Lonchura striata: one gene and its partner. The protein of the gene in region 1 interacts with the protein of each later gene in a pairwise test. Links are inferred from orthologs where the notes say so. Each region holds a gene or a part of one and is shown on either strand. Other genes may lie near its edges.

What was found.
Region 2: the proteins of PRRC2B (region 1) and YTHDF1 interact in a two-hybrid assay, tested with the Homo sapiens proteins (2 studies listed by BioGRID, with this or other methods). The link is inferred for Lonchura striata from reciprocal best matches to the Homo sapiens genes PRRC2B and YTHDF1.

What each region holds. Positions count from the first base shown.
Region 1 is NC_134624.1:6,954,953-6,965,893, reverse strand, and holds the start of PRRC2B (protein PRRC2B), read right to left. Parts: upstream 3,969-10,941; 5' UTR 3,827-3,968; exon of another isoform or gene 3,779-3,826; intron 1-3,778.
Region 2 is NC_134619.1:6,018,907-6,030,012, forward strand, and holds the start of YTHDF1 (YTH domain-containing family protein 1), read right to left. Parts: upstream 3,954-11,106; 5' UTR 3,803-3,953; coding exon 3,776-3,802; intron 3,388-3,775; coding exon 3,363-3,387; intron 1,920-3,362; coding exon 1,840-1,919; intron 1-1,839.

The DNA.
Region 1 (10,941 bases):
CCCCACTTCCACCCTTTCTCACCTTTTCACCCCTTCCAGCCTACTAACACTCTCCTGAAAATTTAAGTGCTGGAGTCAAACCACAGACATTGCATTTTGGCTGCAAGTTAAATAACCCCCTGCAGAGCTGCATACACACCTTTTAACACCTTCTGTCCCCACACACCTCGCAGCACAAGCAGCTTCACAACCAACCAGTGCCACAGGCAATTACAGAACAACACAGGACTACTAAAGCAGCCTCCAGTCCACTTCGGTTATTGTCCAAATGCTTCCAAATAATAAAAAAAAAAACAGATGAGGATTTAACAGCTGTACAAGTCAGTATCAGAACAGCTTTGCTCTGAAATAAACAGCTCATAAGCTCCAACTGCTCTGTTACTTTTGCACAATAAGTACACACGCATGCAGGGAACATCCTGAATTCTAGTACAACTTACTAACAGAGCATGAGCCTGAGCTATGTTTCAGTGAGGCTGGATATAATGCAATGTTCTGCTTTAGCCCCATTTTATCCTTGCAGGGGAAGGAAAAACTCTTTAACCAACCCAGATGTGGGCAAAACCCAGCTTCAGAGGGTGTTTTCCGTTTGGTAACCAAGTCGCTTAATTTCAGAAGTTACAAATGGCTGTTCTATGATGGAGACAGCTGCAGCTCCCCAGCCTTAACCTGTTCTCTGTGCTCTCACCTCACTGATACCTGACAGAACCACTGTTCTATTTCTTCTGCTCCACATGAGAAATTAGTGATAAGGAGCTGTGAAATTATCGACCTATTAGAAGAATGAGTCAGTGACACACGAAAAACAAAACCCACTTAACATGGCAGGATCAGCTTAAGAGCAAAGTCTGATACTGAGACAACAGCTCAGTGCCAACTTGCTGAATAAATGAGGAATGTAGTAAAAAGAAACAGGGAACCAGAGAGGTCCAGCCCTTGGAATAAACCCTCTCCTGAAGTTACCATATTGTATCACTAAGTTTCTCCTGCTCGTACTGCTTCTATTCCTACAACATGAAAATACAAAATTTTAAGTGGAAATGCCACTAGAGCAAAATCTCTTTGTAGACTACCATCATAAAAAGACATATATATATATATATAAGGTTTACTATTATTTTCAGCAGCACTTAAACGTAGCAGGGCTTGCCCTTAAATACTTTCAATCACTCAGGTAAGCACAATGAAGGCCTTGAGCACAAAGCACTCTGGAACAGGGCAGGTAATTGTGACCTGGATCATCTCAGAGCTGCAGTGCACAGCTCGGGGTCCTTGTTCTCCTCAGGCACAGCTCAGGTGTGAGCCCAGCAGGAGAGGAGGCCACACACGGGCACTGAGCGCTGCCTGTCCTGTGCCATCACCCAGGAGCTGCGTCACACAAACACAGCTCCAACGCCACCACCTTTAGGAGGTTGTTCAAATAAATGAGCCTTTGAAGTCAGGCCTTACACAAAGCTTTATTAAAAGGTTTTATTAAGATGTCACTATAAAGTGAAATAGCTTTAATACAAAATATTTAGCGATATGACTCACTTACTGAAACAAAAATACTTTTAAACCCTGCATGTCCCTTCCAGCATCTTTATGGACTATTTACTCACTTTTCCAGTTTCAGCCAGCTGGATGAGCTGCCCTTTTAAGCTCTCATGCACACATAGAAAAAAGAAAAAAAGCTCAAGAATGCATCAAAAAAATGCACTGTAAGACCAAAGAAAAAAATATCTGAATTTAGAAAAAACAAGGCACCAAGGCACTATATAATGACAAATCTGGAAACCCATATCAAACCGTGGTTTAATTAATTTTTTAAATAAAGGTATCTGTCAAATCATGTAAAAATTTGTTTTGTTAACAGTGAAGAATGCTGAAAGCATCCCCAAATATGTGATACCTAGTTTACTCAACTATGCAGAAAAGTGTACCAGACTAAAGAATAAAAAAAAAAGGAATCAACTGGTACTCAAGACACTCAAAAAATTAAACACAAAATCAAAATACAGCTAACAGCAGATGTACTCGCACTGGCTTGCAAAAACAACAAAGCAGCAATTCCAAACAGTATCTGCAATTTTTCTGAGTATGTTTTTTATCTGAACTTTTAAATTTTTACAAGAAAAACATTATGGGAGAGGTGCCGTTTATTGTAATCCCAAAATATTCTGCTAACTAGGAAAAACTTCTTAAGCCAGAGACCCAAAAGAAACAGCATCACCCATGATGAGCCCACAAAGAGCTCATGGACCACAGGTGAGCTCCTGATAAAACCTAAGCTCATTTACAATGCTTCACTAGGAGTGAAAAATGCATGTAAATATTTCACATTTTCAGTCAGAAATCAGCCTGAAAACATCACTTTCCATCCTCTCTTTAAATTCTGCTTTCAGACTATGGCCTTGCCTTCCCTACCTCTTCCAGATGACTTTAGCCCCTCTGGCTCAGAGCAATAGTTTTTGTTCAGCGTCACTGGGGGTTTCACTACCCCAGTGACACTGAATATGGAAAAGGCAAGTACAAAAGTAATGTCCTGGCCAGTTTATATCTGAACCCTACTCATCAGGAGTCGATTCTCCAAATTTGGGCTCTCCAAGACGGGGACCAGCTATTTATCCATCATGGAAGAGGCCATTCCAGTGGAGGTGTCAAGTGAATCGGTAAGACAAGGCTTAACAAAACCAACGCTTCCACTATAAACCTGGATTCAGTGCTAGAAGAGGTGGGATGCCTTCCTCCCTAGTAGATGATGAACACACTGCAATGTGCTTACACTTTATACCTGTTCCTAGAAAGAAAACTACTAAATCCCTAAACGTTAATGTTTACTGTATAATCACCCCAAACAACAGTAACATCAATATACGAACACTTATCTGATGAGTAGATGCTCAGTGTGTATCTCACCCTTTGCACACCCAGAAAACAGAAACCAAACAAAACAACTTTCCTAACAAAACCCACAATTTCCAGCTCATACCAACCCATTACAGCAGGTTTGAATTTGAATATATGGGGGACTTTTTGTTTTCTAAATTCACAACCAACACGACTAAAAACACCCCCCGGAAAAGATGCTCAGCCCGTGTCCCAGGACCCGCATTAGGGTTTCCCCCAGCTTGCAGCACAGATGCTCCCACACAGAATTGAAAAACTCCTTCTTGAACATAAAAAAAAAAAAAAAAAAAAAAAAGGCCTAAACATATTTCCAAACCTACCAAACGAGCTCGCCCAGCGCACAAACTCCATCCTCGCTCCCTCCCCCACGCCCCAGCCGCATTTCGGCCTCAGCGGCCCTTTTGTAGCTCCCGCACAATAACAAACCGGCCGAGCCTTCTGGATGCCACCCCCCCCCCTTGTTTTGCTGAGACACACACGGCGCGACAAAAATATCTTTGTGTCACACTCCAGACGACCAAAAAAAAAAAACAACCTGCCTTTGCGGCGGGGAGCCCCCCGCGCCGGCTGCACCCGGCGGGGAGCGCGGCGGGCCGGAGCCCGGACAAGGGGCCCGAGCCCCGGCGGCCCCACCGGGGATGGGCCCGGCCAGGCCCCGCGGCGGGCCCGTCCCCGCAGGGAGAAGGGGGGCGGCTCGCACAAGAAACACCGGCGGCCACAGCAGCGAGAAACCGGGGAGAGTCACCCCCCCAAGCCGCCCACGGGACCCGCCCGAGCCGGGAGGCCGCGGGGTGCCGCAGCCGCTGGCTCCGGCTCCATTTTAGCGCTGCCTCGTCCCACCTTCCCCTCTCCCTCCCCTTCCTCCTCCTCCCCCCCCGGCCCCACTCACCGCCCCGAATATCCGCGGCCGCCGCCGCCGCCGGCCCCCGATACCCACCTGTGGTGGTGGCGGGGAGCCGGGGGTGCCTGCGGAGCCGGGTGCGGACGGGTGATGGGCGCGGGGCGCGGCGGATGGCGGCGGATTGCGCGGGGCGGCGGCGGCGGCTGCGGCCGATCCGGGCACTCGCTGCCTCCTCCTCCTCCTCCCCCTCCTGCTGTGCCGGCCCGGCCCCGCCGCGCAGCGCCACCTGCAGGGCGCCGCCGGCAGCGCGGGGGCGGCGCTGAGGGGAGCCCCCTCAGGGGCACCGGGAGCTCCCTCAGGGGGACCTGCGGAGCGCACCCACAGGATTTGGGGCATCTCTGCAAATCCTGGGAGGCTGCAGCGCCTCTCCGATGAGGAGACACTGCGGAGCTGGGCCGGGTTACTCTGGAGAAGGGAAGGCTGAGAGGGGATCTCAGCAATCCATGTCAGTGTCTCCCCGGTGTGTCCGAGGATGGTGCCAGACTCTCTTCAGTGGTGACAGGATGAGGAGCAATGGCCATAAATTCAAAGACAAAAAGTTTTCCCTCAACATAAGAGAGAATTGCTTTAGGTTGAGGGTGGCAGAGCTCTGGAACAGATGCCCAAAGGAGTGCTTGGAGTCTCCCTCTCTGGAAACAGTCCAAACCCACCTGGGCACATTCCTGTGCATTGATCTGCAGGGATCCCTTCCAACCTCAGTTAATCTGTGATCCTGTGAGCTCCTCTCAGAGAGATGCCGAGCTGCTGGAGTGGGTCCGGGGGAAGGCAACAAGGAGGATTTGAGGACTGGATCATCTCTCCTATGAGGCAAGGGTCATCACGGCAGGGCTCATTGCTACAGCCACCTCAGCCCCCTGTGCCAGGGACAATGTCTCTGAGGGGATACTGGAAATTTTTCCCTCACATTTTTATGACCCCAGAGCCATAGGGCAGTGACAGGGACGTGGGGTGATGACAGGCACATGAGGATTCCTGTCCAGCCTGAGAGGGACCAGAAAACACCACATGTTTTCCAAATGGGCAGCAGGTTCAAAGGAGAAGCTGCCCCTTGGAAGGACTTCAGTCCACAAATATCTTTTAATTTGTTCTGTCATCAAGGATGATGGAAATGAATGCAGTAGAGCAAAGCAGTCACTCCTCTCCCAAAACACTCTACAGAGCCATAAAATACCAATAGCCTCACCAGCAAAAACAGTCCCTGCTTCAGACAAAAGAACTTCAGGTCGACACAACCTAAGAAGCAGCAGCACTGGCAAGAAATTGGCACTAAAGATAGTATTGTAAAAGTTACTGCAAATTGCAGTTCCTCTGCCCAGTGGATGTTTTATAGCTTTGGAGATGTGGTCTCCTTGCACACAAGGACAGAGCAGCATCTCTTTTATTATCCTTCCCTGTCCTGTAAGACACACAGGTGTCTGTCAGTGTGACATTTGGTGACAGAGGGCCAGACTGCAGGTACACACATGCATTTATTTCTTAGGGACTGTCCAGCAGTTCAGAAAAATTGTGCACACACACATTTATATTTATATATATGGGACAAGCACCTGGGCAATTGCTGGTCTTATGCAAATGCACTCTTTAGCTTATTCAATGGTCACCAGACATGTGCTGTCACCCCACATGCCCTTGCCCATGAAGGGAAAGTGGCTTTAGAGGAATTTCGCAGCACATTTCCCAGAGCAGACAGTGCCTCAGCAGGAACTGTCCCCACCTCTCTCCGTGTTACAGGAACAGCGTAAGGCCAGGCACCCGGATCACTGCTCATGAGAGATGATCTCAAACAGCCATCAAGAGTAATGCAGAGGGAAGAAATGCATGAACAGCTTTCTGGACCATATGGGATGTTCCTACAGTTGATCTGCACTGCTATTGAAGTTGCCAGGCACTGAGCTACCACGAGATGCACCAGTGCTGCTGAAACCATCATCTGGTTGTCCTTTTCTGCATATCAAAGTACTGCACCACTCCTGCCCCTTTGGTGTCTCATCTCATCTCTCTAGAAGTGTTTTTACCTGTCCAGAGACAGGAGGTCAATGCCCTCCACTTCTCTCCCTACAGGACCCCAACCCTCTTTCCCAACATTCCCAAATTCCTGTTCTCACCAGCTCACTGGCAGCTGGGGCATTAGTCTGGTCCACTTAATTCTTTATTTCTCCATTGGTCAAACAAGTACATACACATACAAACACCTCCTCTAACCTGCCTCCTGCCCATGCAAAACCTCAGAGTCTTCCACAGCAGCAGCTACAGTGACAGGAAGCCACCCTGTGGCACCAACATTTCCTTTTGGGAGATCAGGAATGTGGGATCCCCTCACTTTCAGTGACTCATGCAGACACCTACAACCCCCACCATCAGCAGGTGACTCACATAGGCTTGGCCAGGTCAGCACTATCCACATCTGCTGCTGTAACAAGCAGTTCTCCCAAGGTCTCCTGTGCATCTCCAAGGCAACAATCCAAGGCCAAGGGAGTAGATGCAGCAATTAAAGAAAAATTAATGCAAACTGTTGTGGTGATCAAAAAACCAAAGTAAACAATGAAAGACAATAGTAAATATATTACCAAGTGTGTACACTGCAGTGCCCACAAGCTCCTGGCTTTTCCACCTGTGCCCAGCAGTGTGCCAGAGCCAGCTCTGGAATTTTGCAAGTCTGGCTCAGGACTGCATTAGGGCTGGATTTTTCCACCCCTTCACTGTTCAAAGCTGGACAAAATCTGGATAGTGAGAGGACAAAGCTTGTCTCTGCCACCACAGGGGAGAGTGGGGTTCCTCTACATCCAGGTGAACTACGTGTGGCCCATGGGGACACATATGGATCAGACCTTGGCATAAAGTGAGGAATTTCTTCTGGTGCTCTTTAAAAGACCTGCACCACCTCTCACCAGCCTGTGTATAAATCAAAATAACTGGTGTAAAGTGAGAGCTTGGTAGGACTAGACCCACAACAGACTGTGGAGGAGGAGTGTCAACAATGAGAAGCAATTTGGGCAGAGACTGAAGAATAGGTTTCATCTGGATGAAATTCAGTGCATAGCTCTATGCAGGATCCATTCTGGAAAAACAACTCACCCACTCTGATTTTTCACCTGTTCCAGAGTCTTTACTAAATTGCTCCCTAGAAAAAAGAGTGACACTCAGGAGTATTCTGCTTCCTCCTTGCAGGACTAATTACAAGTGAGAGCAGAAATCCTTCTGTGTGCTTCATCCTTCCACTAGTGAGAAATCTGCTAAACACAAAATATCCATTACAGAGGAAATCTGCTAAACACAAAATGTCTATTACGAGGGCTATCCATTATAGCCCTCGTATAGGACATACATCTACAGAAGTATCTTCTGATATAAGGTCTCCTAGAAATAATAGAATTTCTATTATGTTCTGCAGCTTCTACAAAATTTGCTCTGAATCCATCAATCCCTGCCCCTGCCTTGCACCAAGCAGGGTGATTTACAGGCTCAATACTCCTGTGCCATTTTGCTATCACTTTGTTCAGCTGTAAATGGCAGCCTGCACCACAGGACAGGGCCTTACTGCCCTCGCAGTCATTCACAAAACTCATCAACACACTTGTAAAAAGCAAAGCGATCCTTCTCTGTTCCCCATCCAGAGGCCATTTGGCACCACAAAGTACACATTTACCTTAGTGGCTCAGGTCACGGTCCTTCCAGTTTTCCATCTGTCTCAGACAGCAGCCAACATCAGCTACTGCAGGAGAAACTCAATGGTCAGTTGTGGAATCACATGTCCAAGGGAAAATATGCTTTATAATTCCATGAGGTAAGAGCTGTTTATGCCCTGAAGCATGAGAATAATTTCAAATTCAGTTGTGTCTAAATCAAGAGTGCCTCATGACTGCACTGATTTCATTAGCTTATCTGAGACAGCTACAGGGAAATTCAAGCCTGCAACTAAGTGAGCAGGGCCTTAGGACCCAAAACCCAGTCAGCAAGAACATCAATAGAGTTGAGCTGTCATATTTGAGAGGTAGAAGACATGAGTAGCTCTGGCAGCTCTCTGTAATCCCACGAATGAGCCTGTGTTACCCAAATATAAGGAAATGTTTTGAAAGCCAGAACTCAAGCAGAACAAAGGGACATTGGGTCTCAAATATAAAAGATTTTCCCCCCCTCTACTTTAAGACTGAATATCAACAGAGATGCTTTGTAAAAAGAGGTATTCTGTAAGAAGAGAAAGGAAGCTGGAGTCTCTCACTTGTCTAAGCTGAAATAAGTATGAAATATTGGGAATGGAAAAATAGTATGAGAACCAAGTAATCCTGGCCTGTGTTTCAAACTGGGTTACTTGGAATAATTGTGTTACTTACTGCTTCTTCTAGCTGCCAGATCAGGTAGAGGCTGTTGATTTTTATTCCTTTGCAGCCTATGGGAGTTGCAGGCTCTGTATAAAAACAAGATGACATGGAAGTGTTTGTTTGCCAGGCTATTGTTTGTCCTTTTAAAGGCTGCAGTCACACTCCATTCTTCATGAGAAAATGCTGGCTCCTGAAGGACAAACCAAAATGACTATTTAAGGCACTAAAAATGGAAATCATTTAAAACAGAGCTGATTAAAAGGAAGAAACTATTCTTCCAATGAGAAGTGAATTGCTTTCAGCTGGCCTGAGCACTGAGCTTTGTTTGCAACAAAACCCAAATACCAGTTGCCTGATAGTGCAAGTATTTTGAAGGCACTTAATCTGCCATGACTCTAGTTTTTCCTTGTCCATAACTGCAAAACAAGTGTATTGCTTCTGCTCATCCTGGCTCAGTGATTATTCCTTTGGCTGGGCTGTTCAGAAGACAGCAAGACTGCTCTTCAGACAGATTTTAAAGCCCAGCCTTTCTTGCTACATCCAATTGGAAGCCCTCACAAAACCTTGATTGCTTAAATAGCAAGAGATTCAAGAAAAAAAAAAATCCAGAAACATCACACAGCTTTTTTACAATGTGACAGCTTGTGTTCTTCAAAAGACTCCAAAGATTGATAGTGACATGCCAAGTTTTCAGCACCTTCAGAAAAGAGGGGAAAATAGGGAGATGGAGGTTCAAGTACTAAAGTTTTGTCAGGGAAAGACTTGGGTGTATTTTTCAATACAACACTCACTTCCAAAACACACAGAAAAACACTTAGAGAAGCACCTGGGGTTTTTTTCAGTTAGCACCTCTGTTTGCTCTATCAAAGCCCCTTCTTCAAAGAGGTTGGAAAAAAAATCCAAGACAAATAAGGGGATAGAGTTATTTAACATAGGGTCCTCCTACAAGGTGTATCTCAAAATACAAGGAATATTTCTGAGGAAGGCAAAACATTCCTGTTTTAGATCAACCTGATTCTTATGACAATTCATAATATAAATATATCAAACTTCTTTCACTCTAAATCTGAAGATCAGTCCAGATTTAAACTACAAAGTAATTTTGTTTCCTACCTTGAAACTCTCATAATGACTATAGTTGTGGTCAGGATGTGAGTGCAAGGACATGTTTGGGTTCATGGTTCCAACCTTCCATCACAACAATCTGATTCCTCCTGTCCATGCGTGGCAAGACAGCTGCTGTTTCACAGCTCAAAAATATCTTGCTTCACCCTGACAAAGGGAAGTATCAGCTGCTTCTGAATATGCTGGAGCTGATGGGAATGGATGGATTTTGGTAGAGCTTCAGCCCCTGCTGTAAACAAGCCAGTTCTTGTTGTCCCTGCCGAGCGTGGCTCTGATCAGTGATGATCACAGCCCAGCCAGCATGTGAATCCTGCACACGTGCAGAGACAGAAATGGTAACTTCAACTAACAGGCTGCAGGATGCACTTCCACAGCCCTGAAACCAAGGCCGTTGTTTGGAACACCTCTGGAGCTACAGAATTTCCTTTCTCTTGGGGAATTCATGAAATAACTCTCTAGTGAATGTTTTTTTCTCATGACCAGATTTGTCCCTTCCATCTCAGGAGCTCCCACGTGGCCCCTTTTGAGTTCAGCTTCTTCTTTAATTATTAACAGAATTCCTAAATATTTCAGCGGGTGCTAGCTACCTCTGCTCAGGGAAAACACAGCATCGGCCCCAAAAGCTCCATCCACCTCCTGCCTCTCCGTCCCTGTGTCCCTGCTCCCTTCGGAAACGACCAAATGGTTTGGGGTGTAACTTCCCGCGGGACTCTGGCTGCTGGTGCGGGGACAAGGACGCGGAGGGGCTCGCAGGGGCTGGGGCATCTCCGTGCCGGGGGCTGCGATCCGGGGCGGCGGCGACATCCCGCCGTGTCCCCACTAGATGGAGCGACAAACCCAGCCTGGAGCCGCCGGCTCTCCCCAGTGTCCCCAGCCCTGGCTGCTGCGTGCCCCGGTGGCCGGAGGGCTCGGAGGGTGGCCCCGGCAGCGGCCAGCCCCGTTCCCGCATCTCCGCCCGCTGTGTCCCCGCGGCACGCTGGGCTCACGCCCCACGCTTGGTGCTCAAAGAGGCGGCCGAGGTGTCGAGCAGATGCTTCTCCACGTGGGAGTGGGTTTTTCTTGGTGCTGTGAGCACCTCGGCTTCGCTATTTAGAACCCAGGCAGCGCTAATGAACCCGGCGAGTGAGCAGCAGCCCTGGCGATGGACTCAGCCTCACACAAATCACCCCGCAGCTTTGCTGAGCCCCTGGGGCCAGGGCTCTCTGTGCAATGTGGTGGGGATGTGGAAAACACGAGGATATCCCTGATCTGTGCTCGCCAGGGCTGGCAGGGACCCCCGGTGCTGAGGGAACCCCGGGAGGCTTCGTGCAGCCTGGGATTCTCCCTTTGGAACAGACCAAAGTCAGGTTGCATCATCAGCACAGTTTTGTTGAAGGTGCCATCCTTCTCCCTCAGCTCATCTCCAAGGGATCTGTGACTCATCTGCTTTGCCCTCACAAGCCTGGGAAGAGGAGCATAGGCAAAGGTCGTGACCAAAGAAAAGGTTCAGCAGAGACAGATGGAAACTCAGCGGCTGACAGACCCTGTCCTGTCCAAATAGACACAGGGGCCAAGTGCCACCAGGGTTTGCAGCAGCCTGGGGAGGGGGTAGGTGGCACTGCTGATTCCACACTCCAGGAGGCCAAATTCACCTGTCCTGCAGCCTGGACCAGAGCTGATTTTAGACATAAAAACCACAGGATGTGAGACAAGGATGTAACGAGGCTG
Region 2 (11,106 bases), on another chromosome or scaffold:
TCTTTTTTATTAAAAAACCCAAAACAAAACCAACTTAACCATTCTGCTAACCAGGAAAACAATCTCCCCCCAAAAATGTTCCTTGCTGGTGATTCCTGTTCCATAGGAAGAATCTCTTGGTTCTCACTGACTTTACAGGAGGATGCTCTTGCTGAGTGTAAATCTGTAGATGAAGAGTCTACTTGACTCAGTTCTCTCTGCTCTTAAAAGTACTTTTAACACAATATTACTCACATTTGATTTTTGATGTTAAATATATTATTGTGTCAGCTGGGGCTTTAATTTCTAAAGCTTATTTTAAATATCCAGTTGGCTTCAAATCTTTTTTTTAAGTTATCTGTACTTTACAGTAATTTTCAAGGGATGAATAAATCTGACTGGATAACTGGATAATAAGGCTTTGTTCAGTAACATGGTTGTCTTCAGTACAAAATCTCACAGTCCTAATTAATGCTACTGTCACTTTCCACTTAAAATTGTAAGAGGACCTACACAATTGTTTGTTGTGCCATGCCAATTTTTTCACTGCAGCATAAATAAGTTGGTCAATGGAGCTACACTTCCATAAAGAAAACTTTTATTATAATTATGTAAATTCTAACAACCATAGCAATTTTTCTATTTAATCCTAATAATTTGGCTTGCTGACAGCAAAGACAAATTTCCCACAATAAAACTATAATAGATGGGTTCATTTTTTCTATGTGAACATTCAGTATATTTCACAGTTTAGTTTTTAGTCATTAAAAATTACATACAAATGTGACAAAGCACAACTTTAAAAAATCAAGGGGAGGTGAAAACCTCAATTTCATTTATAATTAATTCTGAATTAAAAATTAAGATTTTGCTTCCTTTTTTCCTCACAAAGGCTTTCCTACTTTCCACAGTAGGTTAACTCCAAAAGAAGGAATGCCTCCCATTAAATTATTTTAAGTCTGGAGAACATGTCTATGCTGCAAGCAAGCTCAGTGATGTCATCAATATTAACACTGGCATCTGACAGCTTCAGGCTGAATTATAAATTTCCTTTTTAAAACATAACACTTCGCCATCCCATCGTTTACCTCTGCTAAATGTTTCTTTCTGAAATGGAGTTTCATACTTGTGAATGAAAACCTTTTGCTGCTCCAGTTTCTAAAAATTTTGTTCTCTTAAAAGATTTGAATATGAAGTCAAGAATTACTTCAGAGAATACTTTCAATTATAATAGTATTTTAGTCATGGATGTTGATTTAATGTACATTATAATGAGAGTTTACATTACAGTTCCTTACTTTTAAGTAACACATCTTTAATTCTTAAAATGTATCAGAGAACATGAAAGAACATTTGCTGAAGTGTAAAAAATGGGACTCTACAAAGCACCTAGAGAGCATCCAACCCAAATCTCAACTACATTAATTTTTATAATTATATAAATAATAGAAATCAGGAGAGCCCTAAAGCAGAATTTTTAAACTCCCACAAGCAACTGGCCTATCAAGGAACTGTAAGATCAGGCTGTCCCAGTCCAGCCACACCAATAACCTGCAAGGGGAGGAGCAATCAGCTCCAGCTCCTCGGAGCATCAACTTCATTTTCACTTGTGGCCATCTGGAAATGCAGAGTAATATTAGCTTTGGGAACACAAATGCTGCTTGTTATCACCAAGTAACACAATATGCTGCCATTTCTTTTTCCATTTCTATTTAAGGCATTTGCCCCCTCCACACAATCCTATGAATGGAGTGCCAACAACATCCCTAAGGAATAAAAAAAACAAAAACAACAACAAAACAAACAAAAAAAACCCCAACAACAACAAAAAAACCAAAACTAAGTTAAAAAGACACTAACCTGATTTGACTGCCCAGAAAGGTAAGGTTCAAAATCGTTGTCGTGAACTGTGTCCTTCTGATGTAACGAACCATTTTGTACTACAAAATAAGGGTTACAGCACATTAGAACAGCAGCAGCATTGGAGCAGGAGTGATGCTCCACCCTATGCTACTTTAGGAAAAGCCATACTTCTTCTGCAAGCCAGAAAGACTCACAAAAAGACCAAGGGATGACACTTCCCACCCCCCAGATTGTTTCTCTTTATATAACTGTTTATAAAACAAAGTTTGAGTAAATTAAAAAAATTAGTAATAAAAAATTCTACAGCTGAGGGTGAGTAAACAACTCATGTGAATTAACTCCCAACAAAAAAATCATTATTGAGAACAATTTTGTGAAAAAGGATTGAGAAACAGCATCTATTGTTCTGGCCCATAATTAGAACACACAAACTCACAGTTCTCCCAGCATGTGTTATTCTCTGCTTAAACTGGCTAAAATAAGATGAGGTGAGGTTACATTGTATTATGAAATGAAGACTGCTAAGAGCTTTGTTATCCTGATATTTTCAGGAAAACTTAAGTTTCAACATTCTCATCTGTAGAAAAAAATATATATATCTGCCATAAAGTCCTACTTCATGTGAAACCCATTACTGAATGATATACAAACCCAAACCAGCTACTAGGTCCCTTCAAATAATTTCCTGTTTGCTTTAAATTTGAAAAACCAAGGTCAAATACACAGTGTGGTAGTTGCTATATTTACCTATTTCACAGAACAGCTGAACTAAATATAATAGTACACCAAATAAAGTGTTTAGCAAACAAGTTTGGGAATTTAGCAGAGCATTTCTGCAAAGTTTGTCAAGGGGAGAAGAGGTAAAAGAGTGTTTACAAACACAGGGAGATGTGTTTAACGTTTAACTAGAAGGATTCTCAAGGCAGGTTAAGATGTATGAAAAAGCATTTATGAGATAGATATTACTACTTTCTAAGTCTTAACAGTTACATATTTGTAAGCGATCACAATAAGAATGAAGGTATTTCTCAGATGACTTGTTACTAAGTTTAATTTCAATTGAAGCAGAATAGTTATAAAAATACTTATTACCTCATCATAAATTAACCATCTTTCAAGTTCCCAAAATTATTAAGTTTATGGACTTAAGTAACTATCTCAGCCAACAGCAGAGCAGCAACACAACTGCACTCACAGAGCATGCAAAAGTAGGCAAAAATACATATACTGTACAGGGATATCCTTGTGACTTTATGTAGCAACTTGCTTCATGTTAAACGAGAATTATTTAGTTCCAGCACAGTCCTTCCCACTGCAAACCCAGCAGCAGTAAGTGGGATGCAGGCAAGCTCGGATGAATGGCAGTCATGTTATTTTCGAAACAAAGCACACGTTCCCTCATTCCCAGATGTTTTCCATGCAGAGTACCAGCCATACATTTCTGCTCACCTACAGGTACCTGCGTAATTGATCTCTTACAGTAACAATTTAAGCGACCAGATCACAGCACGATTCCTCACCTTTATTATCCTGTCCTTTCGGTCTCTGGGAAGCCACAGCACGTGATTACGGGGAAAAAAAAGAAAAAGGGAAGTAAAAAAGTTAATTTTAGAAAAACGCTTATATTGTCATAGGCACTGCAAACCCCACAGCTTACGAGGACGGGGAAGAAAGAGACTTATAAAAATGGCCAGCAGCATCTCAAGGTTTGTTTGGAGCAGGGCTGGAGCAGCGTGTTCCACGTATCCCTCAGGCCCGGCCTTGCTGAGAAATGGCTCCGGGGAGGAGGCGGGAGCGCGCTGAGCCCACGGGGGAAGTTGAGGAGAACGATGGAGCTCTAAAGCAGTCAAGGGGGAGAAGAAAAGCCTGGCGGGGCCTGCACCCGCAGGCCCGGGAGCTCCCCCGTCCCCGGGCCGCCTCGCCACTCGCTCACCTGAGGGTCAACGCTTGTGGCAGACATAATTCATGCACAGGGCCCCGTGGTTCAGCAGAGAGCGCCGGGGAACGAGGCAGGGCCGCTGGGCGCGGCGCGGAGCTCCGGGGCCTGGCGGAGGGGCGGCGGCGGCGCCTCCGCTCCCCTCAGGCGGCGGCCGGGCGGGGAAGGGGCCGGGGCCGAGGGGGAGGGAAAGGGGCCGCCTGGCGCCTGCTCGGGGCGCCTCCTCAGCGGGCGGCGGAGCGGGCGGCGGAGGCGCGGCGCGGCCGTGCCGGAGCCGGTGGCGGAGCCGGCCCGTGTCTCACATGCCCGCGGGCCGGGCCTGGGGCCGCAGCGAGCGGGGCAGCGGCGGCCGCCGACTCCAATGGCGGCGGGCGCCGGGCTGCGGTGACGTCAGCGGCGAGCGCGCGCGGGGAGCGCCGGGAGCGCACGGGGAAAGGCGCGCGGGGCGGCGGCGCCTCTGCGCGTGCGCGGCAGCGCGGGCAGGGCTGAGCGCGGGGAGGGCGGGGGGCGGCGGGAGAGGGCGGGAGGTGTGGGGCTGGGATAGGGGATGTGGGGCCGGGATGTGGGATATGGGATATGGGATATGGGCTGGGATAGGGGATATGGGCTGGGATAGGGGATACGGGGTCGGGATATGGGATATGGGCTGGGATAGGGGATATGGGGTCGGGATATGGGATATGGGATATGGGCTGGGATAGGGGATATGGGGCCGGGATGTGGGGTGTGGGATATGGGATATGGGCTGGGATAGGGGATATGGGATATGGGATATGGGATATGGGATATGGGATATGGGCTGGGATAGGGGATATGGGATATGGGATATGGGCTGAGATAGGGGATATGGGGCCGGGATATGGGATATAGGATATGGGATATGGGATATGGGGCCGGGATATGGGATATGGGGCCAGGATATGGGATATGGGGCCGGAATAGGGGATAGGGGGCTGGGGCATGGGATGTGGGATATGGGGCTGGGATATGGGATGTGGGATATGGGGCTGGGATAGGGGATAGGGGATATGGGACTGGGATATGGGATATGGGGCTGGGATAGGGGATATGGGATATGGGATAGGGGCTGGGATATGGGATAGGGGCTGGGACATGGGATATGGGATATGGGGCTGGGATATGGGATATGGGATATGGGCTGGGACATGGGATGTGGGGCTGGGACATGGGATGTGGGGCTGGGACATGGGATATGGGGCTGGGACATGGGATATGGGCTGGGACATGGGATATAGGGCTGGGACATGGAGCTGGGTTATGGGATATGAGCCCGGGCCATGCGATATTATTGTGGGCCATGTTATATGAGGCTGGGCCATGCTATATGTGACATGGGCATGTGATATTATGCTGGGCCATGCTATGTTATGGTTGGCCATGCTATATGAAGCCAGGCCATGGGATACTATGCATGGGAGGGAGGGAGGGAGGGGGCGCATGGCAGACATGGCTCTGCCTCACAGCCCGTCACAGGGCACTCGGGCTGCCCAGCCGGGGAGCGGCAGGACGAGGGCACGGAGCACAGCTCAGGCTGTGCCTCACTTCCTTGGGAGCAAAGGGTTCTTCACCCAGAGGATGGTCGGGCACTCGAACAGGCTCCCCAGGGATGTGGCCACGGCACCGAGCCTGATTGCTCAAGATACGTGTGGACAACAGCACATGGAGGATTCTTGGGCGTCCTGTTAAGGGCCAGGAGTGAACTCGATCCTTGTGTGTCTCTTCCAACTCAGAAGATTCTCTGATTCTGTTCCTCCCTCAGTCTTTGAGAGGACTCTTTGCCCACAGGCTCAGCTGTGCAGATTCACAGGATCACTGAGACAGAATCCCTGAGCTTCCTGAGCTGGAATGGACCCAGGATCACCAAATGACTTAGGTTGGAAAAGACTTCTGAGACCATCAAGTCCAACCTATTCCCAGTGCCCCTGGTCAGCTACATCAGGGCACTGAGTGCCATGGCCATCCACCACCTCCCTGGGGCCACACATTCCAATGTCTCATCACTCTTTCTGTGAAGAAATTCCTCCTGATACCCAGGTACAGTTTAAGACTCTCAAGGATGATCAAAGCCCAATTCCTGTCCTGGCACAGGACACCCCCAGCAATCCCACCTTGTCCAAAGCTCCTTGAGCTCCATCAGGCTCAGTGCCCTGATCACTTTCCTGGGGAGCCTGTTCTGGTTCACCCAAGAGCTTTGGGAGACCCACCTTTCCTCACACAGCCAGCAGCCACCCTCAACATGGGTTTTTATCAGATTAATTATTTTTTCCTCTTCCAGCTGTTTTGCAGAACCTGGGTGGAATTTGGGCCCCTTAGCCCAGTTTATGTTGATTTCTGTGGGATCAACATCTAAGTCCTCCTAGTCACAAAGTGTTGTAATATCTCCATGCTTAATTTTGGGGGTAAAAGTGGCAAATTCTGGTCCTTGTGGAATACACTGAAGAACACAATCATGCTTTTCTTTAGACGTAGTTAAAACCCGAGTCTTCACATGTTTGAAAACTGAGTTTGAGTTTGTACTTACTATTGTAATAAAATATCTGAAATGAAGAGTGCACTTTTGTCCTTTCTCTGATCAGACATCCAATGATAAAGAAGAAAGAGTGGTGCTTTAATCCTCAGCACCTGGACATGCTCTGGCTTCTCTGTTTGACTTGGGTAGGAAGTAATAATTAGTATTTTCTTAGAAAACACTAATTTTCCCAGACTGGATTGGAAGACACCTCAGAGATCATCTTGTTCCAATCCCTGCTGTGGGCAGGGACAGCTCCCACTCGACCAGGTTGCTCCAAGCCCTGTCCAAGGTGGCCTGTTCCAATTCTGTTTGCCTTCAGTGTAATTATGGAGCAAATCAGTAAATCCCTGCTGTGGGCACTCCCTGAGAGAGCTGGGAAGTCTGTCCAAAGAGCAGAGCTTCAAGAAACAGGACTAAAAAGAAAGTGATCAGCATGGCTGGAGAGAGGAACACGTGTGCAGAAGGAGAAGGGAAAGGCTGGGTGCCTGGGTGATGGGCACTGCTCCGAAGTCCATGTGATTGTGTATGTTCACATCTCGATATAGAAACGATGTGACTATGAATCATCCTGCCAGGAGAGCATGTGGGCAGAATGTTAAAGCTCTCTCTGCTTCAGCATCCCAACGCACAGGGGGCTCTTAGGCTGTACCTGTTAGGTTAGACCCAACGGCAGCATATCACATACTTACATGCATGCACACGTCTAAGTCTTTGTGGGAATATTTTTTTTTTTCTGTTGCATTTGGAAATTTTTTTTTCTTCCTGGTAATGCTATGAATGATCTTGTCTATCCATTGAGAAGTGCGTAGTCTTTTAGAGATAAAACCAGTAAGATGAAAAGTCTCAGCTGAAGGATATGGATAAAGCAATATTCATATTTATATATATATTATATAACTTAGGATACTCTTGGAGGGTAACAAGTAACCCAGGGGGAAACATGGGGTTTGGTTCTCTCTTAGTTGAATGAAATGTGTTCTTCTAGTTTAAGAAAAAGTTGTACTTATCTTTGTCTTCCTTTGCTAACGCACTCTGAAATCTCAGAAGAGTTCATGTGTAAACTACAGCATATTTGTGTTAGTGTTTTTATTATTAGTTTTTAATTCAGGTTTTACAGGAATTTTATGCAGCCCTCTCTGTTATGAGCATGGAAGAAAATCAAATATTGCCATAATGGAATCATGTCCCTCCTGCACCCTACACCCCTGCGGAATGTTCCCAAACCAAGGACCCAGCATTCACTTCCATCATTTTAGGGTGAAAAATAAAAGCAGACACACAGAGAAATTGTAGCTGTTCTCCTCTCCTGTTTCTCATGTCACTGACACATTGTTTGTGAAAACATGAGGAGGGAAATCATATGCAAAGAGTGTGGCCTGTGAACAGATCCCATCTGACATCAGCATCACACATGCTGTTCCCTGCAAGACAAAATCCTTGGAAAGCTGTGGCAAGGAGCTCAGTGGAGCAATGACTGAGCACAGGAACTCTCCCCTGTCTCCCTCTTGATCTTCATCCTTGGCAACTCCTTCTTGCTGCTGTGGTGGGGTTTCTATTAAATTGTAAGGTCAGTCTGGTTTCTTTGTTATGCATTTTTTCCTTCATCTCTTTGCAGTGACTTCAGGTTGCTTTGTTGTTTTTCTTCCTCATCTTTCAGTCTTCCTATTGATTATTGATACAGGGACAAAATAAATTAATTCCAAGCCAATTTGCATGGAGAAAAGCAGATAATTGTAATGTGAATAGCTCGAGAATAGATCTTTCTGCTTGTTGCCCAAGCAATATTCAGGCAGCCAGGCACATTCTCTGCAATAAAAACACAGTCCAAAGTATAGCAGGATTTAATTGGAAAATCAGATGTTCTGTGATTCTTGATGGCTGATTTTCTGCCAATTATAAAGTAGGATGAGCTCCATTAGAATCACAACAATCCCTGACAAATTCTTCTTTACAGGTAATTCAATGGCTGAATGGTGGAACTGTGGCCACAAGTGGGCAAGGATCTCTTCTGAGCTGTTAGATTTATAAATGAATAATTTAGAGTTGCAATACCACTCAGTTTACATAAGGCTCCAGTTCTTCTGCTTCTCTACCTCCTGGCTTGAAGTAGGTGAAAGGAATAGAGCCCAAATGTGAGGCTCCTGCATGTCAGAACCAGAAGGAATTGGGAAATTATCAAGGTCAGCCAGAGGGAGAGGAAGAGCTGTGATTCATCTTTGGAGAAACCTACAGATGCTACTTAAGAAGGAAAAAATCAAGATAATATAATTTATATTTTCCATACTCACAGTTTTCCTCCTCAAATTTTAATTTGCATTCTCAATCCCTTTGCTGCTGCTCAGGCTTCTGAGCACTCTGCATGCTCTTTGGATCACTGGATTGTTGATCTGCTGAAAACTGAAAATAGTTTGTTCAATTTGCAGCAGCAGAGAATTTTTACAGATTTTTTTTCAAGTATTCAGAATGTTATGGGAAACAAAAAAAGAAAACAAATAATGGATAGGGTTTGGGGTTACTCTACATTTCTTTTTTTTTTTCCCCTCGTGATTATTGGGTCCACTGTCAGGGGCAAGAAGGGCTAGAAAACTGAATAAAGAGAAAAAGTAATCTTTGAAAAAGAAACTCATATTTTTCAGCTTCAAAAGACATTTAGAAAAATAAAAGAGAAGCTATTTTCTACAAACACTTTCCTTTGAAAAAGAAGTGAACAGTGGCCAACCCACTCTTCAATAGCAGGAATATTTTTTATAATAGGCTGGACACTGAAACCATGAAGTTCTTTAGATTTTAAGGCCTGTTCCTCTACTGATTTTTTTGAGTATCTGATGTGCTTTGCAGATTTTCCTTTTCATATGTACTGTGTTCTGTTCTGTGGGCTGAGATATTAATAGGATTTGATTTGAAGTACTTTTATGAATCATGTTGCAAGCTACATTTAGCTATTCCTAACTATTACAATACCTAAAGTTTTGAGGCAATCAAATGCCATAGTAATGGGGGCCAGGGGAAAGAATTAGGGCAGGAGATGAATAGATTTGAATCCCTAGGAAATCACTTCACAACACAGGTATTTGTTACTCATCTGTGTGTTAGTTCCAGCAGTCCCTATGTATAGTAAATGTACTTTTTACAAGAGCATGCAGTGACAGGATAAGGGAGAACGACTTTAAACTAAAAGAGAAGCGGTTTAAGTTTGATATTAGGAAGAAGTTATTTACTCAAATGGTGCTGAGGCCCTGGCACAGATTACCCAGTGAAGCTGTGGCTGCCCCATCCCTGGAAGTTTCCAAGGCCAGGTTGGACAGGGTTTGGAGCAATCTGGGACAGTGGAAGGTGTCCCTGCCCATGGCAGGGGGTGGAATGAGATGAACTTCAAGGTCCCAACCCAAACCATTCTGGGATTCTATTATTTACTTCATAGCAACATTTTCCAGGCTTCCTGAATGAATGATTCTTAGCGTGTGGAAAAATAAACCATTTATATTTATTAATGTGTTAATTTTTTTTTTTTGTTATTATTGAAAAGGGCCCAAGGGAAGTGCAGTGAGGAAGATGTTGATAGACAGAGAAGATCACTGTAGATGTATGGCAGAACTTCTTATGGGAAAAGAAAAACTTGAGCTGCATGAGACAGCAAAGTGAGGCTTCTGAGCTTTGCCCTGCCCTGAGGAAATGGCTTTGTGTTTGTCCTCAGTCACTTTTCAGAGTGCTTTGTCACTATCCACTGAGTTGGATCCTGTTTGCTGTCTGCAAGATTTGTTTTAGGGATGCTGTGGAGCTGCGTATCAACACCCAGATGTGCTTTGGTCCTTCGGGGCTGCCCTGGGAGGCAGCTGAGCAGATGGGCTCCTCCCGGGTGTTCCTGTGGCAGGAGCTCCCCAGAGAGCAGCAGTGCAAGTCCTTCTCTGCAGGACCAGAGCAGCAGTGCAATTCCTGCCCTGCAGGACCAGAGCAGCAGTGCAGGTGCTGCCCTGCAGGACCAGAGCAGCAGGACCTTCAGGAGAAGGAAGGGGGAGGACAGCATGGACAGCATGCCAGGAAGAGGCAGCCAGAAGAGGAGAAGAGAGCCCCTAAATGGAGAAACAGCAGCAGTCATCTGTGCCTAGGCCTTCAGCTATAATGATTTTGTCTACTCTGCTTCAGGCTGCAAAGCAGTTACATCTCAGGGTCTGAATGCTTTATTCTGAAAAATGGATCCACCTCTTAATAGTGGCTAACATCTGAGCAAGTGGGAATGGGAATGATGCCATAAATTTGCTCGATACCCAGTCCTTTTACTCATCAGTTGAAGTGACAAGCTATGGTGTCTCCTTTTGTGTTCCAGCCTCTTCATTTCTTCACCAGTGCCAACTGATACCTTTTTTCCCTCCTGTTATAAAAGCCTCTTTCCTCAGTAAACTCTTAATTTATTGATGAAAGCACAATAGTCTCAAGCTATGCCACACAGAACAGCTTCAGCCTCTTACAGCTGTGTAGCACCTCCAGGGTGGAGATGAATTCTGCTGGAGTTTTTCCAGGGCCTCCAGTCACTTCAGTGCTTTCAAGCTTTTTATTATGCTGCCTCCAGATATACTCTGGCCCTTGTATGTATTGATTGTTTTCCTTCTGAATCAGGTTGATAATAGCAAGCAGATTTTTGATTAATTATGTTTATATTCCTTTCTTCATCGAGTGTTTCCAATCACTGTCTAGTGATGGCACTGTTGATCATTATCACTGATCTGTCCTGGACTCCTGATTGATGTTTACTGATTCCCACATTTGTTTATCACTAGCTCATGACACTCCTCATTTT